4 linked regions of the Callithrix jacchus genome follow. The protein of the gene in region 1 interacts with the protein of each later gene in a biochemical or structural test. Links are inferred from orthologs where the notes say so. Each region holds a gene or a part of one and is shown on either strand. Other genes may lie near its edges.

Region 1 (7,062 bases):
TTAACATCTTTCGTGGTGTAGATCTAACCAGCTTATTTTTATTGATTTATTTTTATTTTTTGAGACAAAGTCTCGCTCTGTTGCCTAGGCTGGAGCACAGTGGCGCAGTCTCACTCACTGCAACCTCCGTCTCCTGGGTTCAAGCGATTCTTCTGCCTCAGCCTCCTGAATAGCTGGGACTACAGGTACGCACCACAACACCCAGCTAATTTTTATATTTTTAGTAGAGATGGGGTTTCACCATACTGGCCAGGCTGGTCTCGAACTCCCGACTTTTGTGATCCACCCGCCTCAGCCTCCCAAAGTGCTGGTATTACAGATGTGAGCCACTGCATCTGGCCTAACCAGCTTCTTACTGTGGCTGTCCTGTAACCTCTTCTCTGATGAGGCTGGCATCTTTCATGTCTCCTCAAGTGTCACAATCTAATCCCATCTCTGTGCTTTGCTATTCTCCCTCCCCACACAGCCTCCAGTGGTATTCACAGTGATCCTACCATTTATCAGTGTATTATTTCAGCCTAATTATTAATTGCCTACTATGTGCCATGCTTTGGTTATAAACAGTTGAAAGAACACACTCCATGCTCCATAGAGGGCTGTGATCTTAAAGGAGAGGAATATACATGGCTAACTAACTACAGCAGAGTTCTGTAACAGAAGTACATGCAAAGTGTGGCTGGGCACAGTGGCTCATGCTTGTAATCCCACCACTTTGGGAGGCCAAGGAGGGTGGATCATTTGAGGTCAGGAGTTCAAGACCAGCCTGGCTGGCCAACATGGCAAAATCCCATCTCTACTAAAAAATACAAAAAATTAGCTGGGCGTAGTGGCACACACTTGTAATTCCAGCTACTCACGAGGCTGAGGCAGGAGAATCATTTGAACCCAGGAGGTGGAGGTTGCAGCAATGAACCAAGATAATACTACTACACTCCAGCCTAGGCAACACTGCAAGACTCTGTCCCAGAAAAAAAAAAAAAAGTAGTAGGACATGAAAAGTGTCACAAAACATAGGCAAACACCTAATTCTTCCAGAGAAGTCACAGCTGTAGAATAAATACAGGAAGAAGAAAGGAAAAAGAGTAGTCATCTATATTCCATCACGACTTGGCAAAGAAAAAGAAAAAAAAAGAGCAGTGATGTACAAAGGAAGCACAGACAAGAGCTTGGAGAGAGAAAGCACAGGGCATGTTTGAGGAGCCCAGAGGAATGCGACATGGTTGGGTTTATGAATGTTTGGAGGCGATGAAGCTCAGAGGGCTGGAGGAGGAGGATTATAAAGAAATTCATATGTGACCCTGAAAAGCTGGGATTGGGTACATCACACTCCTTACAAGCAGCCTTCGAAAAGCAGCTTACCTACAACACTCCCTATTCCATGTGGATTTGTTCTACCTCAGACATACAGTCACATACTACTCAGAGAGCAAGGGTGTAATCCTATGTATTTTCTGTACCCCTCTCTTCTTTGCAGGGTTAGTATAATAATAACATCAATCAACAGTTGTTAGTCTTACTAAAAATTCATATCCAGCCGGGCGTGGTATCTCACATCTGTAATCCTAGGACTTTGGGAGGCCGAAGCAGGTGGATCACCTGAGGTCAGGAGTTCGAAACCATCCTGGCCAACATGGTGAAACCCTGTCTCTACTAAAAATACAAAAATTAGCCAGGCTCAGTGGTGGGTGCCTGTAATCCCAGCTACTTGGGAAGCTGAGGCAGGAGAATTGCTTGAATCCAGGAGGCGGAGGTTGCTGTGAGCTGAGACGCCACTGCACTCCAGGCTGGGTGACAGAGCAAGACCCCATCTCAAAAAAAAAAAAATCATATCTGATCTTTTGCGGAGGGATATCATGAATTCAGATCATTCCATTTCAACTAAAATGATCAAATACATATTCAAACAGTGATGACCATACGGGCACAGACCATGGAACAAGGCTGAGCCCAGCTCTTGGCTATCTGATGCCTAAATTCTCTCATCATCTCTTTTGCATCACTAGTACCTTTATAAGAGGTTTTTGGAACCAAAGAGGAAGAACCTTTGCTCTCTACAGGCCACTTCTGAGGTTCATCCATTGCTTGGGAAGAGAGCTCAGTTAGAGAGAGAGGCTAAAAATGTGACTATTACTCAAGTTTGGAGTTAAATATTTTTTACTAAACAGAGAAAGAGTCAAAGTTCAGTTTTCATCTAGATGGCTCTGAACTACTGCTAGCAGAGAGTAACCAAATCTCAAAGGGCTTGTTCCTGGATCCAACTTACACTTCTGGGGCTTATAAACAACTTGCTCCAGTTCCTTCAGGTTGTCTTGGACTGTTGCTATCACTGACGCATCAAGAGAAGCACAGAGTTTGCAGATATAATCCAAAGCTTCATCTGTGTTTTTGGCATCCCCAACACCAACCGAGGCAGTCAGCCCAATGACCTGTAAGAAGCATTCCAAATCATTAGATGTCTGAGAAATAGCACAATGTTTCCACAACCCCTCATATAACTCTTTCCTGCTGGAGTAGGGCTTTTGTTTTTGCTTTTACTGACACACAGCATATGGTACATGGAGGCACATAATGTGTATTTTACTAAGTGAACAAATGAATAAATGAACCAAAATTAAAAATGAGTTGTATAATATGGACTTAGGACCTGAGAAGGACATCTTCAGTGTGGCCACAAGAGTAAGTAAATAAAAGTTAGGAAGATTATAGCTTTTCTGAAGAATTCGTCTGACTTTGGAGATACCTGGGGCAGTGGGCCTGAAGATCCTCCAAGTTTCTGATCTAGATAATTGAACATGATCATATTGTATGGATGTTGTTTACTAGTGTTGTGGCATTCATCAAATATCATCAAAGTAAAGATGGACAGTGATGGAATCGTTCCATTTTTAAGGTTGTTCACAAGAATCTGTGGAGTTAAAATGATGATGTCGTTGTTCTCAACAATCTGTTTCACTGGGACATTCTCAGCTGTTGCTCCAGAAATGCCTGTAACTCTATACCTGAAATGACAGAAATTCCATATTACCAACCACAATGTGAATAAGGAACCATGAAGATGAAATGCTGGATCCGATCATCAACTGATTAAGTTCTCCCTGAGTCCAAAAGGAGTATAGCTGTAGGCAAGTCCTTAGCACATAGTAAGTGCTTAGCCTGACACACAGTAAGTGATCAATAAATCTAAGATAGTTGTGATTTATAGTAGTATATATTAAGTAACCAAGAGAGAAAAGAAAACTTAAAAGAGTAATATCAAATAAATTATAAAATCACTAAAGAAGTTAAATGTGCCACTTAAACATCACATTTATCCCTGAAGTCATTTACTCCCTGTACAAGGGCAAACCAGGGGCATTTAAGACTTCTGGGACATATAACAAAAAAGACTTGAATCCATGAATGAATTATATCCTGATTATATAAAAGCTGAATCTAATATAAGTTTTATCATTTTTTCCAAAATAAAACAGAAATCACATCAATTACATGAAGCTGAAGAAAAAGAAGTTGAACCAACTATTATACCTACCCAAGTCTTTCAAAGTATTTTGAGAATACAGATTTCTGCTGTTCATACACTGGGATCTGATTAGCGAAAAAGACAACTTTCCCCTTTTGTCCTTGCGGGAATTTTTTAAGATGATGTTCACATATAAGGAGTGCAACTAAGGTTTTTCCACAACCTTTTAACATGTAAGGAAAAAATAAAACATGTAACTCATATGATATTAGATATTTCTCTAAAAAGGCATTTATTTTTGGCTCTTCTAATACCACAGAGCTGACTAATTGATAATTTAGATGGGTTAACAATTACGGAATTTACACTATAACTAAAAAATATCAAGCTACTCCCTAGATAGCATGCTAACAGCCAGAACCCAAAAGCAAGCTAACAGAGGGTACTTTTCTTTACCTTCTCATGTCCCATAAAATAATTAGGATTATGTTATTAGGACAGTTTTTTCAAAAGACACATGAACAAGGAAAAAACTGAAACTTGCCCATTCTGTCCCAGTATTCAATAAAAGAAAAAAAGGAAACAAAAAACTATATAAGTGATGGCAACTGGCTTACCTGTAGGAGCACATATTATTGTGTTTTTTCCTTTCTTGGCAGGCAAAGCAAGCTCTAATTGGTAACTTCTTGGTTTAAATGGGCTGTACAAGTTTGTATCAGACACTTCTGGAATACAAAAGAAACAAAATTACCAAATAGCTCCTGCTCTGAGGAATCAGGGAAATAGCCACAGTCTAAAGTCCACAAATTCTGACTCCAGCAAGAAGCGCCTCATTGGAGACAGTTTAGAATCCTTTCCTTGTTAACCATTCTAGCTTTTTCACTAATCTGAAGTACAAAATTCTCTCAATGACAAAGTATTGATGGTAAGAAAGAAAGAAAAAAACATGAATTATTTTTTATACAATCATGGAAGCCTAACAAAGAGAAACCACAGCAAGAATAGCCCAATTCTGGGTAAGACAAGTTGTCCCTTTGTTAAAGGCAATGCTGTATGGAACAAAGCAACAAATCCTCCCAAGATCTTTGAAGAAATCCAAACTGTTACCAAAGCAATTTCTTAAGTAGCAATAATGCTTTGTCCTTCTTCAAGTTCTCAAATGGCATTTTCTCTCAATACAACCAGAAGTTTTGAAAAATAATCAAAGGCTTTATCTCAGTAACAGGTAAGCATACAAAATATTAAAGCTAGCAAAGACTTTGGAAATTGTCTACTGAATCTACCCTACCCATTTTAGAGAAAGGGAAAATTTCTAAAAAGTTAAGTGAATTACCCTCACAGAAAAGACATGTAAGGGCCAGGCACACTGGCTCATGCATGTAATCCCAGCACTTTGGGAGGCCAAGGTGGAGAGATCACTTGAGGTCAGGAGTTAGAGACCAGCTTGGCTGACATGGTGAAACCCCATCTCTACTAAATATACAAAATTAGCCAGTTGTGGTGACACACGCCCATGGTCCCAGCTACTTCGGAGGCTGAAGCAGGAGAATCACTTGAACCCAGAAGGCCGAGGTTGCAGTGAGCTGAGATGCACTGCTGCACTCCAGCCTGGGCAACGGAGTGAGACTCCATCTCAAAAACAAACAAAAAAAGACGTAAGAATCTTCACGTCAGAAAATTTAAAGCAATGCACATTCATTGACTTTATTCTGTTTGTTCTTTGTTTCTGTTTTTTTCCAGGGTAACAGATTTTATTCTGGAATGACCAAAAAAGAAAAAAAAAAAAAAGACACTTGTAACATCCAGTTGCAGAAGTAATCTGCACATTTTATTTCTATGGAGTTATCCTAATATCATTTTTCTTCTAACACTGCTCATTATTAATCCTAATTTCTTTCCGGATATCCTTTTATAAATAACTCTATTACGGCATAGTATGCAACTTTCCAGTCTCAAAAAACTGTCAAGAAAATATGGTTCAAGAAGATAAGGGGCCCTCACAGGGCCACAGCTAACTTATACAGAGCCTTTGTGTAAATGAGAAAAAGGAGCTGCACACTAACTTCATCAACTTGCAGGGCAGCCCTGAGATCCTTAAAAGAAATTGAGCAAGTGGCTCAGAAAAAGACTTTCTCACTCATAGGCAGGTGATGAACAATGAGAACACATGGACACAGGGAGGGGAGCACTACACACTGGGGTCTACTGGGGGGAATAGGTGAGGGACAGTGGGGTGGGGGGATATCATGGGGAGAAATGCCAGATGTGGGTGAAGGGGAGGAAGACAGCAAATCACACTGCCACGTGTGTACCTATGCAACTATCTTGCATGTTCTGCACACACATGTACCCCAAAACTTAAAATGCAATAAAAAAAAGAAAAAGAAAAAGAAGACTTCCTAAAGTCTTTCTTTAGAAAGACTAGAAAGCAAGACTGATTTGGGAATTCATAGACATTGCATTTTGGTGAAGACTCTATGTGCACTTCCAGTGTAGACACACACATACTTTCTTAGTGGTAAAAGAAGAAAAAAAGATAGTAAAAGAAGAAAAGAAAGATAGTGGAAGAAGAACTAGAAGGAGAGAATGGCATTCTAAAGACAGAAAGGGTATCTATTGTAACATAAATTCTCTTTTCCAATTTTCCTTACAAACCTTTTCACAAGGCTGTGACTTCTGGTACAGCAAAACATGTCCCCACACCAAATACCAGAAGAGCACCATTATGGAAAAGAACAAACAGTGTGGGATACCTGAAGGCAGACATGAATTCTCACTCAGGTTCTGGCATTCTGGATCTTCTTGGTAGAAAATCTGTATGTCAGAAGTTTCCAACTTCTCCTCAAGATCTTCCGTTTCCACATCTTTTATACCTTTTTAAGACCAAAAAAGTCTTAGAATCTTAATATAATCTGCTTATAGTTTTGATGTTGAAAGCTCCACAAAAAGGTCATAACACTAAATTTTTAACTTCTATTAAAATTTCTCACAACCACTCCCCTTCACCTTTTAAAACAGTTAAATAAATCATTTTAAGTTTAAAATCTCAATTTAGAGTTTACCTCCAATGTAATTTACAGCTATATTGCTCAAAGTGTGGAACGTATTGCCTTACTGAATCAGTATCCACATTTTAACAAGACCTTGGAGGGATTCATATGCATAAAAAAAAAAAGAGGAGCATGATTTAGCAGACGTTCGTGTCTTCCATTTCTGACTGACTCTTGACCCAAGAAATGAGATGTGTATTTACAGAAGCCTAGGAAAGCTAAGACTAGACATTCAGATGTTTATCAAACTCAGCCTTTGAAACTGCCTCCCTCCCAGAATTGAGCTTCCTGCTCTGGCTGAGGGGAAAACGCCTCTGATGGGATGTAAAAGACCAGCTGGAATGAGTGAAGCCCGAAGTAGAGATGTGAGGAGGGCACGGTGTCTTACCTTTCTCTACAATCCACAGCTCACTGAACTTGTTCCTATCTTTCTCCAAAGCAAGTTTCAAAGTTTTGGGCCAGTTCTCTTTATCTGATCTGAGAAGGCATTCCACCAATTTCTCTGCACCTGCCATCATTCCCTTAGTGGAGCAAATCTAAGCAAGACAACTG
Region 2 (7,647 bases), on another chromosome or scaffold:
CCCAGGAGGCGGAGGTTGCGGTGAGCTGAGATCACGTGATTGCAATTCAGCCTGGGTAACAAGAGCAAAACTACGTCTCAAAAAAAAAAAAAAAATTATGACAAAATTTCTGATGTAGGCTGGGTGCAGTGGCTCATGCTTGTAATCCCAGCACTTTGGGAGGTGGAGGCAGGTGGATCACCTGAGGTCAGGAATTCGAGACCAGCCTGGCCAACATGGGTAAACCCCATCTCTACTAAAAATACAAAATTAGCTGAGTGTGGTGGTGCACGCCTATAATCCCAGCAACTCTGGAGGCTGAGGCAGGAGGATGGTTTGAACCCTGGAGGTGGGGAGTTTGCAGTGAGCCGAGATCACGACACTGCACTCCAGCCTGGGCAACGATGTGAGACTCCATCTCAAAAAAAAAAAAAAAAAAAAATCTGATGTAAATGAATTTGTTAATATGTTTTTACTACCAGAGCTGACCACTCTCCTCCTTCTCCCTTTCTTATAACCACTGCATGATTTTGCTTAAAACTTTTAGAGAGTGTCCAAGAAAAAAGTTTGAAGACTACATTAACCCACTCTTTCCAGAAACTTGGCTGTGAAATGGAAAAGAGGAGCGCTGCCTCCAGGGATGCTTAGGTCAAAGGTAACTTTAGTTTATTTTTTATTTTTAAATTTTTTTTGAGACTAGGTCTAGCTCCTTCCCCAGGCTAGAGGGAAGTGCTGTAATCACAGCTCACTGCAGTCTTGGCCTCCTGGGCTCCCACGGCTCACTGCAACCTTCACCGCCCCTCAAGCAATTCTCCCATTTCAGTCTCCTGAGTAGCTGGGCATAGCCAGGCCTGTGCCACCGTGCCTGGCTAATTTTTTTTTTTTTTTGAGATGGAGACTTGCTCTGTTGCCCAGGCTGGAGTGTAATGGTATGATCTCGGTTTACTGCATCTTCCCCTTCCCGGGTTCAAGCGATTTTCCTGCCTCAGCTTCCCAAGTAGCTGGGATTACAGGTGCCTGCCACCACGCCTGGTTAACTTTTGTATTTTTAGTAGAGACAGTTTTTCACCAGCTGGCCAGGCTGGTCTCGAACTCCCGACCTCAGGCGATCCACCATTCTTAGCCTTACAAAGTGCTGGGATTACAAGCGTGAACTACTGTGCTTGGCCAATTTTTATATTTTTTTGTAGAAACAGGGTTTCACCATGTTGCTCAGGGTAGTATCAAACTCCTGAGCTCAAGCAATCCACCTGCCTTGGCCTCCCAAAGTGCTGGGATTACAGGCATGAACTACCATGCCCAGACAGCGATTTTATTTTTTAAATTGGAAGATCTGAGCATGTTTAACTGTTTAGTATCATGCCCATTTTACAGAAAAAAAAGAGAGGCTCTTAGAAGTTATGATTTTACTTCAGTGTGGAGATTCTGGAACAAGATCCAGGTAATCTCTCAGTCAGGATAGGCTAGGTTATGGTGTATCAATACACACCCACTCAATCTCAGTAAGCTTATATCAATACACACCCACTTAATCTCAGTAAGCTGAACACATCCCGGTTTTCTTCTCCCGCTTACTACATATCCTAGAGTGGGTTGGCAGGGAGTCTGCTCATCTTAGCCACTCACTGACCCAGATCACTGAATGATGGTTTCATCTCCATAGTTGGAGCAGCTGGCAGAAAGGGATACAATGACCGGCTCAGTCACCTTTAAAGCTGGTGGGAAGTAACATTAGTACCTCTGTGTGTTTCAAGTGGGTCAGGGAAGTGCCAGTCCTACCATGTGCCCAGAAAGGGAAAGTACTGGAAACGCTGATGAGCAGTGCTGCCTACTCCATGACACTTCCAGTGTTGGAAATAACCACAAACATTTTTTTTTGTCCTCAGCTTCACGAGTAGCCGGGACTACAGGCATGCACCTAGAAGACTGACTTTGTTTTTTTTTGTTTTTGCTTATTTATTTTTTGAGACAAAAGTCTCGCTCTGTTACCCAGGCTGGAGTGCAGTGACATAATCTCAGCTCACTGCAACCTCCACCTCCCAGGTTCAAGTAATTCTCCTGCCTTAGCCTCCCGAGTAGCTGGGACTACAGGTAGGCGCCACCATAGTAGAGAAGGGGTTTTACCATATTGGCCAGGCTGGTCTAGAACTCCTGACCTTGTGATCTGCCCGCCTTGGCCTCCCAAAGTGCTGGGATTACAGGCGTGAGCCACCAAGCCTAATCTTGTTTTATTTTTAGTAGAGATGGGGGTTTGCTATGTTGGCCAGGCTGGTCTTGAACTCCTGACCTCAAGTGATCCAAAGGTCTGCTACAAACTTGTATTATCTGATACCTACTTTGAGCTCCGGTGAGAAGGGGTAAAGCATGAGGCATTAAAGCATGAGGCATTGTTAGTTCATTTCAACATATTGGGGAGTTGTGGGTTTTAGTCTCTGACGCCTCACTGTTACCATGCGAGCTTAGAAGTTCCATTACCTCTTTGGGTCATCTGGGAGGACTTGGTGCTCTTTTAGTTCTAACATTTTCTGCTTGCAATGCGCTTAGGACTGGAGTAGGAGGTGAGTGAGTGGGAGAACGCAAACGCCACAAACGCCAGGCGAGCCATCTCAGGAAAACACTTTTTAGTATTTTGTCCGCTTGTCTGTCGGGAAACGCGCTTACATCCCGCAGAGGGCAGTAAGGACACAGCGCGCAACTCTGCTTTATAACTGCGCGTTAAAAAGCCTTGAATGCGCGTCAGAATCATGTAGGGGAGGTTTTATAAAAACCCGTGCTCCGCCCGAGACAATGAAATCAGACTCCCTGCAAGCGGGACCCGAACATCAGCATTTTTGAAGACCCCCACCCCCACCCCCGCCGCCGCCACCGTGACTGTGCACCGATGATCTTTAATCCCCTGCTACTTGTTAGAGCAGCTACTTATTAGAGGATGACACCTCGCGGACTCATTCTTACAAATGAGCTGCTGAATGGACTCCTTTCCTCCCAAGAGTTGTCGGTGTTGCATCTTTTTGTTGATTGTGTGTGTGTGTGTGTTTTGCCTACAGCACCCGGTATTCTAAGGCGGTCTCCCATCCAAGTACCAACCAGGCCCGACCCTGCTTAGCTTCCAAGATCAGACGAGATCGGGCTCGTTCGTATTTATATTTTTTTAGCCTACGGAAGAAGACATCCAATGGCGCTGCATCTTAATGGGGGCACATCCAGCGAAAGGGAATCTTGGAGACATCTGCGGGTTCCTAGCGGCTGGCGGCAAGTGGGTTTCCGAGGGCAGGGGGCCGCCACCGAAGGTCAGCTCTGCCATTCGCGCTGGGTTGTGGAGGATCAAAGTCCGCTTTCAGCAGGACCGGAGGAAGGAGACTGGGTGGCCCCAAGGGAGGAGGGTAAGAGGCAACCGAGAAGAGGTGGAGGGCCGGGGGAAGAGGAAGGGCGAGGGAGGAGCCTGAGGAGATGCGGCCCACATTGGGCCGGCTAGACCCAGACGTCCGCGCCAAGCCTGGTCGCCATGGCGGGCCTGGGTCTGGGCCCGGGCCCTGCCGTCCCCGTGTGGCTGGCAGAGGACGACCTGGGCTGCATCATCTGCCAGGGGCTACTGGACTGGCCGGCCACGCTGCCCTGCGGCCACAGCTTCTGCCGCCGCTGCCTGGAGAGCCTGTGGGGCGCGCGGGCCGCGGGTGGCCGCTGGGCCTGCCCCACCTGCCGGGAGGTCGCCGCGCAGCAGCCGCGGCTGCGGAAGAACACGCTGCTGCAGGACCTGGCCGACAAGTACCGCCGCGCCGCGCGCGAGCTGGAGGCGGGCCCCGACTCGGCCCCCCGCCCCGGCCCCGGCTCCTGCCCGGCCCCCAGGCCCCGGCGCCGCGGGTCACTGCCGCGGGTAGGGAGGCCGAGCTCGCAGGTCCCCTCGCGCCCCCGGGCTGCCCCCCTTTCCCTCTGGCTCGAACCCCCTTCCTCAGCCGTTCTACTTTTACGTTCCTTTTCTCAATCTAACAGTCGACTCCCGCTCTTAGGAGGAACTTTGAAGTTCAGAAAAGTATGAAGAAGCAGGAAAAAAAAATTCCCCATCTCCCGAAAGCCTGTCAACCTAGCAGCTATACGCCTTGGCATATTTCAACTTCTTCCCAATCTATTTGCGGTCTCTTTCTCTCAAAATTGTAAAATTGTGGTAAGATGCATGTAACATTAAAACTTGCCATTTTTGCCTTTTTTTTTTTTTTTTGGAGATGGAGTCTCTCTGTCACCATGCTGGAGTGCAATGGCGCGATCTGCTCACTGCAACTCCCGCCTCCCGGGTTCAAGCGATACTTCTGTCTCAGCCTCCCGAGGAGCTGGGATTACAGGCGCACACCACCGTGCCCAGCTACTTTCTTTTCTATTTTAGTAGAGACAGGGTTTCACCGTGTCACCCAGGCTGGTCTCGAACTCCTGAACTCAGGCAATCCTCCCGCCTCCGCCTCCCAAAGTGCTAGGATTATAGATGTGAGCCACGGGACCGGCCTCATTTTAACCATTTTTAAGTGTATAATTCAGTGACAAATTAGTTACATTTCCAATGTGCAAATAACACTGCTGTTTGCAAAACCCTTTGATGACCATAAACAGAAACTCTGTACCCATTAAGTAGTAACTCCTCATTTTCCCTCCCTCTAGCCCCCGCTCACATCTAAGCTACTTTCTGTATCTGAGTCTTCCTGTTCTGGTTATTCATATAACTGGAATCATTCAATGTCTGTGCCTTGTTTCTTTCACTTAGCATGGTGTTTTCAAGGTTCATTCATGTTGTAGCATGTGTCAGACTTTATTCCTTTTATGGAGGCTGAATAATATTCCACTGGGTGGATGTGCCACATTATTTATTTGTTTTTTTGAGATGAAGTCTCGCCCTGTCACCAGTGGCACCATCTTGGCTCTGCAACCTCTGCCTCCCGGGTTCAAGGGATTCGCCTGCCTCAGTCTCCCGAGTAACTGGGACTACAGGTGCGCACCACCATACCCAGCTAATTTTCGTATTTTTAGTAGAGACGGGGTTTCACCATGTTGGCCAGGGTGATCTCGATCTCTTGACCTCGTGATCCGCCTGCCTCAGTCTCGCAAAGTGTTGGGATTACAGGCCTAAGTCACTGAGCCCGGCCACATTTTAAAAAATCCATTCATCCATCCTTGGACATTTGAATTGTCTCCACCTTTTGGTTACTTGTGAATAATGCTGCAGGGAACATTGTTGTGCAAGTATCTGAGTCCCTATTTTCCATTCTTTTGGTATATACCTAGGAGTGTGATTGCTGGATCATATGGTAATTTTATGTTTAACTTATTGAGGAATGGTTTGTTTTCCACAAGGCCTGTACCTTTTTGCATTCCCACCAGCCATGTACAAGGGTTCCAATTTTTCCACATTCTGCTGACTACTTATTTTCTGGATGTTTTTGTTTTTCTTTTTTAGCATAGCTTTCACACCTTGGTATAGGCATGAAGTGACATTTCATTGTGATTTTTTTTTTTTTTTGAGATGGAGTCTCACTCCAGGCTGGAGTGAAGTGGCACAGATCTTGGCTCACTACAACTTCTGCCTCCTGGGTTCAAGCAATTCTCCCTGCCTCAGCCTCTAGAGTAGCTGGGAGTACAGGCACCTGCCACCACACCTGGCTGATTTTTGTATCATTGCCAAATCAAGTGTCATACATTTTGCCCTGTGTTTTCTTCTAAGAGCTGTATTATTTTAGGTCTTACATTTAGGTCTTTGATCCATTTTGAGTTAGTTTTTGTGTGTAATGTTAGGTAAGGATCCAACCTTATTCTTTTGTGTGTAGATATCCAGTTTTCACAATACAATGTGTTGAAAAACTGTCCTATCCCCATTGAATGGTCTTGGCACCTTTGTCAAAAATCATTTAATCATATATATGAGAGTTTATTTCTGGGTACTCTATTCTATTCCATTGGTCTATATGTCTGTTTTCATGCCATTACCACAGCATTTATGACTCCCTCTGTCTATAGTGGTTCCTGGGTCCAGTTTTATAGAACCCATGAACTGAACTTTGCTGTTTTAAAGGTGGAAGTACAGAAGAGCATCACAGAAGTTGGTCAGGAGCTGACAGAGCTGGGGGAACGGCTTGTAGATATTGTCAGGAGCCTGCAGAGTCAGAGGCCCCTATCAGAATCTGGACCAGACAATGAACTGAGCATCCTGGGCAAGGTAGGCTCCGCTGGGAGAGGAAAGGATCTGGGAGGTGAAAGGGCTAGGGATTGCTTTCAACTGAAACGACATGAATGTGTTTGAAGCTGAAGGATGCAGTAAGTCTCAACCTTTTATTGTTCTCTTCACTACCAGACATGGATGATTGGATATTTGGTATGCTTGAGGTAAGGTTCGGAAGCTTTGAGTGGGCTAGGATCACTCCACTTAACCAGCTATCTCTAAGATCACCAATGACCTCTGTGTAAACCCTGTAGACATTCTGATGCCTGTCTTCACTGACCTTTCAGCAGCCTTTGACATAGTGGACCCCACCTTCATTCTTAGCTTTTGGGACAGCAGTCTTCTGCCTTTCCCCCACCTCTCTCTGGCTGATCCTTCTCAGTCCGTTTGCAGGCTCTCTCTCCTCTGCTCAGGAATTCAATGCTGGACTTCCTCAAGGCTGAGTTATAGGTCCCTTTCTCTCTCCTCCAGGTAGTCTTCCTCGTACCCCTGGCTTTAATGACTACCTCTATGCACAAATATAGCTACAACCTGGAGCCTTCTCTGAGCACTAGGCTGCTATATCTCCCTTCTCATCTTTTCTTCTTGGGTATCTCAAAGCATCACACTTAACATGTCTTAAATTGCTCCTCCTCTGGGATTTCTCATCTCAATGCTGGCCCTATTATTTTTCCAAGTACAGAAGCCAGAGACATGGGAATCATGTTACCTCCTTCTCCCTCACCCTAATATGCAGCATATTGTAGCTCTAAGACCTGCCTAATTACCTCTCAAATATATTTACTACTCTTGAGCTCCTTTGAGAGTTCTCTAATCCAAGCCTCTGATAATTTCATGCCTGGATTGCTGTCATAACCTTCCAAATGCTCCACTCTCCCTCTTCTAGTCTGTTTTCCTCATGGTCATCACAGTGACCACCATAAACACATCTGAAAATGTAACTCATCTGCTTAAAACGTTCAAGTGACATCAGTTTGCTCAGGACTAAGACCCAAATCCTCACAGGATCGACAAAGCCCTGTAGGATCCCATCTGTGTCTGCCTCTCAAATCTCATCTCTGCTTACTCTGCCTGGCTCTGTGAGCTCCAGCTACACTGGCCACATCAGTGCCTCTGGTGTCTCACGTCTTCCCACTACAGGGGACCCTTCCTGGAATGCTCTCCTTTCCCTCCACCGCTTAGGTAATGCTTGCTCATCCTGCAGATCCTAGCTAGAACATCCCTTCTTCAGAGAGAAGCCTTCACTGATTTCCTCGAACAAATCAAATTCCCCCATTAGAGGCTCTTAGGATTCCATGTACCTTTCACTGGTAGTAGTTATCATCATTGCAACTTTGTAATGACTTGTGCCCTACTCTGTATTAATGTCTGCCCCTCTCCCTTTTCCTGCACTGGACTCTTAGCTTCATGAGGATAGGGACTTTTGATGCTTTTGTCCACCATTGTATCCCCATGCCCTAGCACAGTAC
Region 3 (7,062 bases), on another chromosome or scaffold:
CAGGTGTGTACCTGTCAGGAATATCAACTGTTCTGCCCTTCCTACAGTGCCCAAGAATTCCAGCATGAGGCCTGAGATGCATTACATTCTCAAATATCCATATGAAAAGATCTGGGGTCTCTACTTCCCCTGGTGACCTCTTTTCATATTATAAGAAGCCTGACTGGAGCTCTCCTCTAAGCAAAGCCCAGAGCTGAACTCAATTCATTATAAGAGGTTAAGTTCTTCACACTTAACATCCTAACATCGGGCTATAAGGAGCCTGGGGAAAATCCAGCAATCCATTCACTCCCGCCTCTTAGTGGACTGGGTTATTTTCACTGCACAGAAACACTGCAGGGAAAATAGCCACTTGTGTGACCCTCTTTAACTCATTCCCTCCCTGATCAGTGTGAGTTTACAGAACTGGCTCAAAGGAGGAAGGCAGCACAAGGGGGTAGGGCCAGCCCCAGGCTCTGACTCATGAGACGGCCAGTGCTGGGTCTGCAGCCTGTGGCCAGGGATGAACAGGAATGTTCCTGTTCCCCATGAGGTTTGCTAAAAGACCCTTTTGGTGCTAGGTTGCCACCCGAGCAAGTGGTCTAGTGTGGTCCCTGAGGCAGCCTGTCTCCATGATAGCAGGCTTCAGAGATCCAGCTTAGCTGGCTGTGCTAGCTTCAGTGGTACCTGCACTGTCATTCCGTATCTCACAATCCAGGGGAGAGGAGCTAAAGCCAAGAAGAGTTGTCAGTAAGAAAGCAGGACACTCCAACACGAGCAAACCCATCAGGCTTCTGTTGACCCAGGGCAGTGTCCCTCTTGACCAGCAGAGTTCCTTGCCCTGCAGCCAAGGCTATGGGAAGCAAGGCCTCCAGCAAAGCTCATGGCTGCCACCAAAGCATCTCTGCCAAGATGCTTCTCATGACACTTAGGAAGGATTTCCATTCAAACTGGACCGGGGTCACCTGACCTTGAATCACAAATCCAACACAGGCTCATTCCAGTCATGGTTTGAAGCTTTAGCTGAAAAGTTTCCTGTTTGAAAACCATCAATGGGGAGTGATGGGTGAGCAGGGTAGGAAGGGAACAGCACTATTTTACAGTGGAGGAAGAGGGCATGCTTCTTTAGGAAACTCTGTTCTGGGTAGAGACTGCTGTGGGTGTTTCCTCAAGCACAGCTAATAATCAGGAGATCGAGCCCCAGCATGTGGGTAACGGAGGTTGTGTAATTCAACCAAATTTAATGACTTTGGAATTTTAAAAACATCTATGGTAAGTAATCAAAACACCCAGATCTGAAGGCTACCCCAGAGAGCAAAGGGGCAGCCTTCAGATCCAAGTGGCCCAAGACAGAACCTACAGTAGATATGGATTTTTTTCTAAGAGGAATTAGGCACTCATGACTTCACTCCCCAGAGCTCTGCCCAGCTGCCCAGCAGCCTGGAGATTTCCCAGAACAATGAGAAGCAGGTCACCCTGCCCTGATAGGCACCAGGGGGTGGAAATGCCTCCTTGCCCACAACACAATCACCTCCACCCCTTTTCCCAGGCTAAATCCCATCCCCCACCCTCCCGCCTGCTCCCCTCCCATACTCCCAAACCTTGGGACCTCTTGGGGAATTCTCCAAGGAGAGTTCTGCCTGCTGGATTTTCACTAGGGTCTTGGGACCTCTGCAAGCAGTCAGTCCAAGTGTCCATGGCCTGCCTACTTTGGGGAGCAGATGGAAAGCGTGGCACCAGCGGAGAACACCCAGAAAGCCGGGTACAAAGCCTCAGTAAAGTCCACCTTGAACTTATACATCAGGTGGACCTTGTCAGCAACAGCAAAGAAGATGACAAAGCCGTGGTCACAGTTGAGAAGCACGCCCACCCGTGTGGCCTTGGTAGAGGGCAGGGTTTTCTCCACGTTGTTGTGCCAGGCAGAGATCTTGGTGTTGAACCACTCCACGCACCAGGAGGCATTGTTGCGGCCGAGCCTGCTCTCGGGGCCCTGCCGGTCCATGCTGCCATAGCAGATGCCTACCCCACAGAAGTTGTTCTTCTGCAGCTCCACCTCCCAGTAGTGGATCCCCTTCTTGTAGCAGTGCAGGCCCAGCACCTGAGAGCAGTATGTGAACCTCTGGGGATGCGGCCGGTAGTTCTGAGGCATCTCAGCCACAGAAGCTACTGTATAGTTCTGTGACAGAGCCACCTTTTTGTGGGCAGTGTTGTAGTCCAGGATGACTTTAACATAATCTGAGAAAACAACACCCCAAGGATTAATTACAAGGGGCCCAAAGTGCTCTCACTTTTAGACCTTTCCCAATGTGGTACTATTTATTCACCAGTTTTATCCATCCATGCACCCATCTGCCCATTTGTCTGTCCATCCATACTTCTAACTATCTGTCTGTCTATTCATCCATCTATCTGTCTATCCATGTATCCATCCATCCATCTAGCCATCTACCCATGTGTCCATATACCCATCTATCCACTCATCCATTCACTTTTCTATCCATCCTTCTGTCTTTCCATTTATCCATTCATTCATTCATCTATCCACTCATCTAGTCATTTATCCACTTATCCATCTGTCCATCTATGCAGCCATCCATTATCCATCAGCTCATCTATCCATCCATCCATCCATCCATCCATCCATTCTGCCCAGCCAGCCATCTATCATCTATCAGTCATCCACGTGTCTGCCCATTCATGCGTCCAAAATAATTTACCAGGCACATGACTGACACAGATTCTGGTTGCCTCATGGAGTTCACACTCCAACAAGCAAGGCAAGTCCATCAGTAACAACACTATGAGACTCACACTCTCCCAAAAGCGTAGGCACACACTGTAGGGACACAGAGATAAGGCCACTGATGCTACAGTTGGGGAACATTTTGCTGTCATGCTGGAGCTGGAACCAAGTAACAGAAGATGAGAACTAGACAGAGGAAAGAGAATGGCCATTCCAGACAGAGGGAATGGTGAGGGTGAAGCCACAGAGTGCCAGAAGGGTGGGGGTGTGCCAGGATTGAGGAAGCTGGGTGGCTGGGAACACAGATGCAGCAAGAGAAGGGAAACATGTTGGGGCTAGAAAGGGAAGAACTCAGGAGTCTAGACTTTAACTGGTGGGCAGCAGGGAGCCAAGCTCTGTAAGCATAGACATGGCCTGACTATATCCTTGGTGTGACACTAGCATATCCTCCCTACCCTTCCTGCCACTTACAAGCAGTTCCAGATCTGAGGATGAAGCTCCCCTCAGTGTCATCCCATACTCAATCTCCTCTGCCCCCGTCCTCATAGGAGATCTTGGGGACCCATGGGAAACAGCTCATGGGGCAGCAAGGCAGACAGGGACAAATCTTAGCTTGGGAACTTGGAAACCAAGAGACCTGGACTTTCGTCCCAGTCTCTTTAGTCCCTACTCACTTGCTAGGTGGCTGAGGGGCATGACACTTTTCACTGGAGCCCGAGTTTCCCCCTAGGCAAAATGAATAAGCTGTGGGGAAAACAGGCCCTAAGTGGCTAGAACTTTACTTTCCCTGCTTATGCAGCTGCCACTGAGTGCACAGCAGCTCCTGAAACATGTGGTTCAGCACCACCACCAGCAGCTTGCGCAAGAGACAGCTCCAGCCCGGGGCTGGTCTGGGCCTCTCATGGGGGACAAACACAGTGGTGAGCTACAAGGAGGCCAGCCCTGAGAAACCAAGGGACCCACAGATCTCCACCAAGTCTGCTGCAGCTGCAGATGAAGGAAGGGCCTGAGGTGTATTTTTCAGTGATTGGGTTTGGCCACCACATAGAAGTGGGTACCGCTGGCAGGTGCTGCATGGAGTGTTGCCCGTGGGTGCAGAAGAAACAAGAGGGAAAGTGGGCAGGTCCTAGGCCTGGCCTTGATAAAGGAACTCCACCCATTTCCAAGTTGGACAAGCTTGCAAAGGAGCCTGACTAGAGGGGTGGGTGGAAACCCAGGGGCGTATAGTGGCTCAAGGGTCAAGGGGAGAGAGTGTCAGAAGGAGGAGGAATGCCACTGAGAGGTGACGCTAAATAAAAGCTGAAAGGCATCCCTTGGATTTTGTGACACAGAGGCCACTGATGACCTCAGAGCTGCCTGAGTCAAGGGCAGGAGAGAGGTCAGACTGCAGTGGCAAAAGGATTAGACTTCGGGCTCTCACCTCGGCCCCACACTGCAACCCTGGACAACTAAACACTGAGATTCTGAGTGAACCATTCTGGGGGGCAGCCTGGGCATCGGGGATTCTAAAAACCTCCCCAGAGGATTCTAACACATGGCCAGCAGTTGAGAGCCACCAGTGTCCACAGTCTGAAGAGCTGCTTTTCCCCAGCCGTCCTCAAAAGGACCATGAAGGAAATGAGCCAAACATAAAAGATCTCCGTGCTTGCCTGAGTCTGATCCTGTAGAACTGGAACAGGGCCCAGGAATTTGTTTTTTGGGTTTTTTTGGTTTTGTTTGTTTGTCTGTAGAGACAGAGTCTCACTCTCTGTTGCCAGGCTGGAGTGCCGTGGCACAATCTCAGCTCACTGCAACCTCTACCTCCTGGGTTCAAGCAATTTTTGTGCCTCAGCCTCCCAGGTAGCTGGGATGACAAGCATGTGGCACCATGCCTGGCTAATTTTTTGTATTTTTAGTAGAGATGGGGTTTCACCATGTTGGCCAGGCTGGTCTTGAACTCCTGACCTTTTGGTCTCCCAAAGTGCTGGGATTACAGGCATGAACCACTGCACCCAGCTAGGAATTTGTATTTTTAAAAAGCATTCAGGTAAAAGGGAGGCAGGAAACAGAGCTGGAGCCAAAACAGTTTTTTTTTTTTTTTTTGAGACGGAGTTTCGTTCTTGTTACCCAGGCTGGAGTGCAATAGAGTGATCTCGGCTCACCGCAACCTCCGCCTCCTGGGTTCAGGCAATTCGCCTGCCTCAGCCTCCTGAGTAGCTGGGATTACAGGCATGTGCCACCATGCCCAGCTAATTTTTTGTATTTTTAGTAGAGACGGGGTTTCACCATTTTGACCAGGATGGTCTCGATCTCTTGACCTCGTGATCCACCCGCCTCGGCCTCCCAAAGTGCTGGGATTACAGGCTTGAGCCACCACGCCCGGCCCCAAAACAGTTTTGCTGGGTTTGTTTTGTGATTTGGAGAGATGTAAACATGCTACAGATAGGCAAGCCTCAGCAGAGAGGCTGAGGGTGAAGAGATGGGAGTGGAAAGGCCTAAGAGAGAGCAGAAGACTCCAGAGAGCACATGGGGAGCAGACTCCAGAGCCCAGGGCCAGGGACCAGGCTTGGGAAAGGGGCCAGGAGGCGAGGAAAAGGGCACAGTAGATGCAGGTATGATGACAATTAACAGAGCAGGGGGAGTCCCTTTTTCACTGTCTCTCTTCTCTGTGAAGCAGAAGGTGGGCAAAATAGGGAGAAGGCTGTGGGAAGTCTTGGGAATGGTGGCTCTGAAAGAGTGGTAGGGAGGGGACAGGAGACAGCAGCCAGGTGAAGGCTGGTGACCACAATCGCCCTGCCTTCTCTGCAGGGAACATGCAGATGCCAAAGGTGAGCTCAGTAAGGCCAGAATAGACAGCAAGAGGGAGAGTCAAAGGACCCATTGTGAAATCTGAGCTGGTTAGGAAAGAAGTCAAGAAAGGCACTGATGACTGGGAGGAATAAGGGAGCAACAAAGTAGAGGACAAGTGAAGGGAAATGGCTGGGAAATGGCTGGCCAGCTGGCCTCACACAGAACTGTACAGAGTGGCTGAGGACAGACAGAACCGGTGGAACCGCGCACCAGCACAGAAGCTACTCACACTCCTGGAGCTCAGGTCTGGACTTGGCCAGAAAGGTCTCCAGCACCTTGGCCTTGAGAGATGCTGCGTTCGGCTGTGAGCTGGCACCTTTGGCTCCAGTGGCTGCCGCTGAGAGAGGAAACAAAGAGCAATTTGCAGAACAAACTCCGAGTGGACACCCCAAAGCTTCTTGCCCATGATAACTCACCCTCAGAGCCATCTTGTTCTGATTCCACTATCAGTCCCGAAGCTATAAGGAAAGAGAAACATGATACAGAGCAATGGGTTGGCCTCTACTCCCTTCCTAAGAGCAGCTTCTACAAACACACACCTGAACAGCAGGGCAACACAGGGGACACCAGACAGGGCTAAAATCACCTTACTCATCTCACTCATTTATGCTTGTCCTCCCCTCCAGACTCAGGCCTGCTGCCATACAGAATGGAATCATACAGATCCCAGCACAGAAAGAAGCCTGATGAGAGAGATCAACTCTCGCTACCAGCATTTAGTTCTATGCTCAGGCAGTCTCAAGAAACAAACAATTGCAGAAATGCAAAACTTACAAGGTTTCTTGGATTTCTTTTTCTCTTCTGCAAAAGAAAGTTTTCAGAATTAAGATCTTTTAAGGCAAATACAATGACATTTTCAAAATAATAATATTCATGTGCTTGAATTTGACCCAGTCAAATAAAAGGATGTTTTCACTTGAAAAATAGGAGTCAGCAGGCAAAATGAATCTACAGTGATAGAAACCAGTATCAGTGGACATGGCAGGCAGGGACTGATGAATAAGGAGCAGGAAGGAATTTTCTTTTCTTTTCTTTTTTTTGAGACGGAGTTTCACTGTTGTTACCCAGACTGGAGTGCAATGGCATGATCTCGGCTCACCGCAACCTCCACCTCCTCGGTTCAAGCAATTCTCCTGCCTCAGCCTCCCGAGTAGCTGGGATTACAGGTGCGCGCCACCATGCCCAGCTTAATTTTTGTATTTTTAGTAGAGACGGGGTTTTACCTTGTTGACCAGGATGGTCTTAATCTCTTAACCTCGTGATCCACCCGCCTCGGCCTCGCAAAGTGCTGGGATTATAGGCATGAGCCACTGCACCCAGCTTTTTTAAAATTTTTTTTTTGAAGAATTTTCTGGAGTAAGGGAAATTATCTTGATTTGGATAATGGTAACACATGTATGCATTTGTCAAAATAGATCTAACTATTTAAGATTTACTGCAGGTAAACTATATTTCCATAAGGGAAGAAACACAAAAACCAAATAGGGAATCAGAAAAAAAATTAAAAAAAA
Region 4 (7,803 bases), on another chromosome or scaffold:
CCATCTGGAGTTCATTTTTGTATAAGGTGTAAGGAAGGAATCTAGTTTCAGCTTTCTGCATATGACTAGCCAGTTTTCCCAACACCATTTATTTAGACCTTTGTTTCTTCCTCAGACTCCTACTATAACTTTTTTGACTGAGGCGGGGTGGATAACCTGAGGTCAGGAGTTCAAGATCAGCCTGGCCAACATGGTGAAACCCCATCTCTCCTGAAAATACAAAAATTAGCTGGGCGTTGTGACAGGAACCTGTAATCTCAGCTACTCAGGAGGCTGAGGCAGGAGAATCGCTTGAACCAGGGAGGCAGAGGTTGTGGCGAGCCAAGATAGGCCATTGCCCTCCCGCCTGGGCGACAGAGTGAGACTCTGTCTCAAAAAAATAAATAGGCCAGGCGCGGTTGCACACACCGGTAATCTTAGCACTTTGGGAGGCCAAGGTGGGTGAATCACGAGGTCGAGAGATCGAGACCATTCTGACCAACATGGTGAAACCCCGTCTCTACTACAAATACAAAAATTAGCTGGGCGTGGTGGTGCCTGCCTGTAGTCCCAGCTACTCAGGAGGCTGCGGCAGGAGAATCACTTGAGCCCGGGAGGTAGAGGTTGCGGTAAGGCAAGATCACACCACTGCACTCCAGCCCCATAACAGAGTGAAACTCCATCTCCAAAAACAAACAAACAAAAAAATCACCAGGCTTTTTTTGGAGGCACCCCCTTATCTGGACCTAGGAAATTATTAACTGAAAGTCTGACACCTGTGAAGGGCTGACAGAGCAACTTAACACAGTCATGCCTATTCTTTCTCAGAGCTGTTTATCTATCAAGTTTCATCAGCATAACTAGACCACCTTTGTCCCAGCCCCTTCTTTCTCTCTCCCTCCCGTAACCATGTTCCAAGCCCCTATTCTGTGGTAACCTCAAGATGGTATAAAAGCATCAAACAAAGCCGGGCGTGGTGGCTCACCCCTATAATCCCAGCTCTTTGGGAGGCTGAGGCGGGTGGATCACGAGGTCAACAGATCGAGACCATCCTGGTCAACATGGTGAAACCCCGTCTCTACTAAAAATACAAAAATTAGCTGGGCATGGTGGCACATGCCTGTAGTCCCAGCTACTCGGGAGGCTGAGGCAGGAGAATTGCTTGAACCCAGGAGGCGGAGGTTGCAGTGAGCCGAGATCGTGCCATTGCACTTCAGTCTGGGTAACAACAGTGAAACTCCGTCTCAAAAAAAAAAAAAAAAGCATCAAGCACTGGCCCTTTCTTTCAGTTTTCACATTTGGCATGACTCCCGTGCCCGTATGCACATTAATACATTTGTAGTCCTTTCCCCCTTGTTAATCTACTAGCAGTTTGTTTCATAGACTCAAGTGATCAAACCTTTAGGGGAAAAAAATCAAATTCAAATTTCCTTACAGTGATCACACAGCTGGCTAGTGGCAGAGCTGAATTTCAAATCCAGCTCTCTGTAAGGGCCAGTTTCCACTGCACCACAATGCAACTTATAAAGTGCTCTGTGCATATTTATTCAAGGTACTGTTGTTATTATTAAACTTGTTTGACTTGAAGTAGGTTTACAAACAAAAATCAGCATAAACAACCTAGTTCATTACATTTGAAAATGTAGCTTCAATATGAGATCATAAAATAGAGAAGGTTCATTTGCATTTCTTTGTTTTCCAACTTAATTTCAGCGGAAAAGAGTAATTCGTTTAGAATGTACAAATGGTATTAACAACACTCACAATCTCTACTGCAGTAAGGACTCTGGTTAACAGCTATAAAGTGGAAGGGACCCAAGTAAGTTTGCCAAAAGGAGGAATATGGAAATTCTGCCCACAGCCAGAACAATGAACATAGATTTGCCAAAACAAAGAACAGTGAAGCAAGGAAAGGCAGTTTGCTCAGCCCTTATTATACTATTTTACGACTTTTTTTTTTCAGTTGCTAGTTTTCTATTCACTTGAACAAAGAAAAAGATTAAACAAAAAATTCAACATTTTGCAAATTTATATTATCCTTTAGTAGAAGGAAAAACACTGTTAACGGTAAATTATAATGTTCAAAGTCCAAACCGGGAAAACAGTCTCCAGTCAGATTGAACAGCAAAGCCTTCTATTCCAAAAAGAATCTTCAAAACGCCCACTGTTTCTGTTTTGTACTACGTTGAAGTTTTAATGCTAATAATTATTAAATTTAAATGGAGGTATCTTTAGGTTGTTACTGCACTAAACTAATCAATGTACTTTGACTCACATAGCACATTTTGGCTTCCAGATTGGTCTGTGGATATCATGTTACTACATCTGGACAGCTGAGCAACAACATCAATAACCAGAAAGGAGGGTAAATTTAAGCCTCGAATTTTACGAACAAGGCTGAAACAACAGGCCTTGAGAATACAGCCATGAAATAATGCCCAAAGCACTCTTTATACATTGCACAGGTTGCACACTTTTCTCCCTGGCTCACAGACGGGCAGTGGTGAACACTGCTTTTCAGATACAAAGATATAGGTAATAAGGACCACCTAAGTACTTTCAAAACTTTTTTTGTTTATTTTTTGAAGCAAAGTCTTGCCAGGGTGGAGTGCAATGGTGCCATCTCAGCTCACTGCAACTTCTTCCTCCCAGGTTCAAGCAATTCTCCTGCCTCAGCCTCCTGAATAGCTGGGATTACAGGTGTAGGTCACCATGCCTGGCTAATTTTTATATTTTTAGTAAAGACGAGGTTTCACCATGTTGGCCAGGCTGGTCTTGAATTCCTGACCTCAGGTGATCCATCCACCTCAGCCTCCCAAAGTGCTAGGATTACAGGTGTGAGCCACCACTACAGGCCTCAAAACTTTTGAATGCAAATGCACATGTTTTTAAGGACTACCCAAATCCTTTCAAAAGTGGTTCTCGAAAACATATTGTGCACTTGCATCCATAATATGCTATTTCTTTCTTCCTGCTAAGCCAAAAGCTGTACAAGCCAATGTGGTATCGCACAGGGCTTCATCATACTATAGTCAGTCTTCAAAGGACATTAAGTAGGCTTCCGCTCCTGATCTGTGCACCCGCACGCGCGCACACACACACAGACACACACACACACACACACGTGTATCCGTGAACAAAATTCAAGACAAACAGTGAAGGCTGGGAGCAGTGGCTCATTCCTTTAACCCCAGCACTTTGGGAGGCTGAGGCGGGTGGATCAATTGAGGTCAGGAGACCAGCCTGGCCGGCATGGTGAAACCACATCTCTACTCCAAATACAAAAACTATCTGGTTGTGGTGACACACGCCTGTAATACCAGCTACTAGGGAGCCTGAGGCAGGAGAATCACTTGAGCCGGGGAGGCAAAGGTTGCAGTGAGCCGAGATCGCGCCACTGCACTCCAGCCTGGGCAACAGAGCCACACTATGTCTCAGGAAAAAAAAAAGAAAAAAAGCAAACAGAGAACACAACATTAAGGATGTGCCAAATTTATATCCGGACTTTGTTTTTAAACGCTTCTTAGAAACGACAGGGCTTTGCACCAACTGCGAGTTTTAGCTAAATACTGCTCGGTTTCGAGAAAGTTATTTTACTCTGTAATTTCTGCGGGTTTGGAGAGACGGGGAGTAAAGCAGGTAGTCTGCCACCTCCTGTCACGCTGTGGCTGGGTAGTGAAGGATTGCATTCAGGGGCTTGCGGCTAACGTCCAAGCCCCACCCTAGCAGGTTGTTAAACTCTAACGACTGTGGAAAGTCACTCGGAAGCTCCAGTTTGACTTGCTCTTTGAGAGGCTGGGTGTCTGTTTTGGGAAAGGGTAGCAGGGGTGGGGGTGGAAGGACACTTGGCACAAATCCTTGTTTGCTTAAGACGAGTCTCTGTGGGCATTCTGGGAACACGTGCACAGCTGCAGCAAAACAAAACGGACCCAGGTTTCTGGGGCAGAGGGAAGCGCAGCCCGTTCCACCGAGTTCAGCGGGATAACTGCGCTTAGCGGGAGCCCTTGCCTTGTAGCGGGCGCTGGTTTTCTTTCTGTGCCCGGGCGGTCGCTGGTTCTCCAGCCAGGAGCACCCTCCCTCGTTGGCCAGCCCTGGCGCTGGGTGGGACCCGTGCCTGGATCCCTGGAGCTCCGCACCTGGGCTTCGGGAGGAGACAGCGCAAGGGGGCTAAAGGGCCCGCTCGTTTCTGTCTTCTCCTCCCGAAGTCCCGTGTCACCTACCGACTGGCGTTTTCCTTGTGGCCCCGCACCCGACGGGTCCAGGTTTCTCCCTGCAGCAGTTCCTAAGGCGCTGTCTTCCGTCCCCCTTCTTCCCCCTACCAAGCCCTCAGCTTCCCCACATCGACCTCCGCAGGGATGGGCGCGAACCCGGCTCCCCTGGCACTTACACGTGGCCACAGCGGGTCCGGACAGGCCGGTGTAACACCTCAAGGCATACGGAGCAGTCGAAGGACGTGACGGGCAACTCCGGGTCCCCCCTGTGCTCCAGGGCCCGCGGGGTGGCAGAGGCGGGCGCCGACTTGCCGCTGTCGCTGCTCAGCACAGAGCCCATCGCTGTGCCTCTCGCTCGCCCGGACAGCTGCCAAGCGCTCAGTGCCTGCTGCAAGGTTGTTTTGTTGCCGTGCGCTGGAGGAAGGAAGTCCCAGCCCAGCTGCGATCGCCGCCTCCCAGCGCACCCAGTTCGCGCAGCCCAGAAGCAGCCTCAGCCGCTGCGCCCAACCCTGGTCTAGGGCAGGGCGAGTGCGCGGCGGCGGGGCTGAAATCTGCAGGCTGCCGGGGTTGAGGCGCGGAGGCGGAGGCGGAGGCGGAGGCGGCGGCCGCCGGGTGCTCGCTGCACTGTCTTGTGGTATTGGGAGGATTGAAACCTGAAACCTCAACTGCAGAAAAGAGGATTGAGGCAGTAGTAAACCTTCCAAGCTGTCACCCACACAACCTCTTTCCCCACAGTCAGAAGTTAAGGGCGGGCGTGGCCATGCTTAATGCTGATCAGAGAACAGCCGCTTGAAAGGTGATGGATAGGACCATCCTCCACGGTTGAAATCACAATAAGCTGCAAAGATGGCCTATGATCTATGACTGGGCGTCTCCTAAGACTGTGCTATCAATACTTTGTCATCCAGTCAATAGTCCATCAATGGAGAGATAGCACGGGCAGTGGAAAGAGTTCTGGAGATTTGGATTCCAATCCTGCCTCTCGTACAGAGTCTAGTGCTAAACGCTGCCATCTCCAGTTTCCTCTGCGGCTCAGGATTTCCTCTGTTGTTTGTACTCTCCCCACCCCGCCCTTTAAACTTGATCAGCTGCGCTCAGTGACCCCGGCCTGTAATCCCAGCACTTTGGAAGTCCGAGGCGGTTGGATCGCTTGTGGTCAGAGTTCGAGATCAACCTGGCCAACGTGGTAGAACTCCGTCTCTACTAATAATATAAAAAGTCGCCGGGCATTAATTCACACGTTTTACGAAGACTTATTTAGTGCCCACTGCATGCCAGACCCTGTTCTGATGATAAAGACACAATTGTCAACAAGCAAATAAAACCCCAGTTCTCACAGAACTTACTTTAAAAAACAAAAACAAAACTTTATTTTGAGATAATTGTAGATTTGCGTAGAGTTGCAAAAATAGCACATAGTATATAATACACATATACAATAATACATAACACATGGGATATAATAACATATAATACATACATGTACTTAACAGCCCATAAATTTCACCCAGTTTACCCCAGACTTTACTTTTTATTATTATTATTATTATAATACTTTAAATTCTGGGATACATGTGCAGAATGTGCAGTCTTGTTACATAGGCATACACGTGCCATGATGGTTTGCTGCACACATCAATCCATCATCTACATTAGGTATTTCTCCTAATGCTATCCCTACCCAGCCCCTCACCCTCCAACAGGCCCTGGTGTGTGATGTTCCGTTCTCACTGTTCAACTCCCACTTATGAGTGAGAACAAGTGGTGTTTGGTTTTCTGTTTCTGTGTTAGTTTGCCAAGAATGATGGCTTCCAGTTTCATCCATGTCCCTGCAAAGGGCATGAACTCATCCTTTTTTATGGCTGCATAATATTCCACGGTGGATTTGGGCTACATTTTCTTTATACAGTCTATCACTGATGGGTATTTGGATTGCTTTCAAGTCTTTGCTATGGTGAACAGTGCTGCAATAAACATACATGTGCATGTGTTTTTATAGTATAATGATTTATAATCCTTTGGGTATATACCCAGTAATGGAATTGTTGGTTCTAGATCCTTGAGGAATTGCCACACTCACACTTTACTTTTGATTAAGAGATATAGGCCGGGTACTGTGGCTCACACCTGTAATCTCAGCACTTTGGGAGGCTGAGGTGAGAGATCATTTGATCACAGGAGCCAATATCATGCTACTGCACTCCATCCTGTGCAACAGAGCAAGATCCTGTCTCAAAAAACAAACCAAGCTGGGGCAGTTGCTCACGCCTGTAATCCTAGCACTTTGGGAGGCCGAGGAGGGCAGATCATATGAAGTCAGTATGAGACCAGCCTGACCAACATGGTAAAACCCTGTCTCTACTAAAAATACAAAAGTTAGCTGGGTGTGAGCTACTTGGGAGGCTGAGGCACAAGTATCGCTTGAACCTGGGAGATGGAGGCTGTAGTGAGTTGAGATCATACCACTGCACTCCAGTGTGAGTGACAGAGTCAAATGACAACAACAATGACAACAAAACCCCAAAAACAAACAAAAGGAAGATCTAAGTAATCAATCAATAAATTTATTTATTAATAAATGAATAAATAAAATTTTGTTCATTAATAAATGAACAAAATCATTTCAGGTAATCAGAACCACAAAGAAGATAAAACAGTGAATGACAATGGGGAGAAGGATAAGCTCAGAGAAGACTTTTTGGATGAAGTGACATTTGAGCAAAGCCATGAATAATGAGAAGAAATGAGCCATTCATAGATTTAGGGAAAAGCGTGGCAAGCATTGGGAACAGCGAATGAGGCAGGATCAAAGGAAAGAAAGATTTGTGGGGCTGGAGCATCAGGTCGTGGGGGCTGGGGGGTATGGTGAGGAGATAAGATGAAATGATAGCTATTTTCAAAAGGAAATTAAAATCCTCTTTTCATCCCACTTATGCCTCAACTCCTGCCCCATATCCCCTTCAAGGCCAAATCTCTTGATCTGATTCTGCACATTTTGTCATCATTTCTCAATTATTCACTTCTTATTCAGTCTCGTCTGGGTTCTGAACCAACATCTCCACCTCCATCTGTCGAAAAACTGCTTTATTATCGGTGTCACTGGTGACGTTCATGTGACTAATTCCAATAGATTCTTTTCAGCTACGTTTTTGCTTGACCCCTTGACTGTGTTTGTCAGTGCTGACCATTCCCTCCTGGAAACGCTTTGACTTCCCTTCTTTCTTGCTGGCTGTTGTTTCTCTGCCTTCTTTGCTGGAGTCTCTTTCTCCACTGGCTCTGGGCTGGAGAGCCTAGGATTCTGTCTTAGGACCTTTTCCCTTCTCATTTCTCTTTCTTTCTCTTAAAAATCACATAGGTTCTGTTATACTTTTGTTCCAAAGACTTTCACATCTTTATCTCCACCCCAGGCCATTCAAATGCTCAACAGCCTAATAGCTTACATGATAGACATTTGACATAGACATCCTCAGCCCAATGTGTCTAATAATGAACTCATTACAGTAGCCACCACCTCTCCTCCTCCAGTGGTTGTGTTAGCAAATGGTACTATGATCCACTTTATATCTCAGTCTAGACACCTGGAAGTCATCCTTGATTTCTTCTTCTTCCTCAT

The links.
Region 2: of the proteins of RIGI (region 1) and RNF135, one has a biochemical effect on the other in vitro, tested with the Homo sapiens proteins (6 studies listed by BioGRID, with this or other methods). The link is inferred for Callithrix jacchus from reciprocal best matches to the Homo sapiens genes RIGI and RNF135.
Region 3: of the proteins of RIGI (region 1) and TRIM25, one has a biochemical effect on the other in vitro, tested with the Homo sapiens proteins (5 studies listed by BioGRID, with this or other methods). The link is inferred for Callithrix jacchus from reciprocal best matches to the Homo sapiens genes RIGI and TRIM25.
Region 4: of the proteins of RIGI (region 1) and RNF125, one has a biochemical effect on the other in vitro, tested with the Homo sapiens proteins (3 studies listed by BioGRID and IntAct, with this or other methods). The link is inferred for Callithrix jacchus from reciprocal best matches to the Homo sapiens genes RIGI and RNF125.

Annotation. Positions count from the first base shown.
Region 1 is NC_133502.1:139,672,593-139,679,654, forward strand, and holds part of RIGI (antiviral innate immune response receptor RIG-I), read right to left. Parts: intron 7,047-7,062; coding exon 6,899-7,046; intron 6,334-6,898; coding exon 6,214-6,333; intron 4,186-6,213; coding exon 4,078-4,185; intron 3,684-4,077; coding exon 3,530-3,683; intron 3,000-3,529; coding exon 2,741-2,999; intron 2,427-2,740; coding exon 2,264-2,426; intron 1-2,263.
Region 2 is NC_133506.1:101,968,381-101,976,027, reverse strand, and holds the start of RNF135 (E3 ubiquitin-protein ligase RNF135), read left to right. Parts: upstream 1-3,458; 5' UTR 3,459-3,484; coding exon 3,485-3,853; intron 3,854-6,031; coding exon 6,032-6,175; intron 6,176-7,647.
Region 3 is NC_133506.1:109,435,515-109,442,576, reverse strand, and holds part of TRIM25 (E3 ubiquitin/ISG15 ligase TRIM25), read right to left. Parts: intron 6,353-7,062; coding exon 6,326-6,352; intron 6,010-6,325; coding exon 5,968-6,009; intron 5,889-5,967; coding exon 5,781-5,888; intron 2,215-5,780; coding exon 1,685-2,214; 3' UTR 1-1,684.
Region 4 is NC_133514.1:75,099,156-75,106,958, reverse strand, and holds the start of RNF125 (E3 ubiquitin-protein ligase RNF125), read right to left. Parts: upstream 4,567-7,803; 5' UTR 4,531-4,566; coding exon 4,367-4,530; intron 1-4,366. UniProt on the Homo sapiens protein: E3 ubiquitin-protein ligase that mediates ubiquitination and subsequent proteasomal degradation of target proteins, such as RIGI, MAVS/IPS1, IFIH1/MDA5, JAK1 and p53/TP53.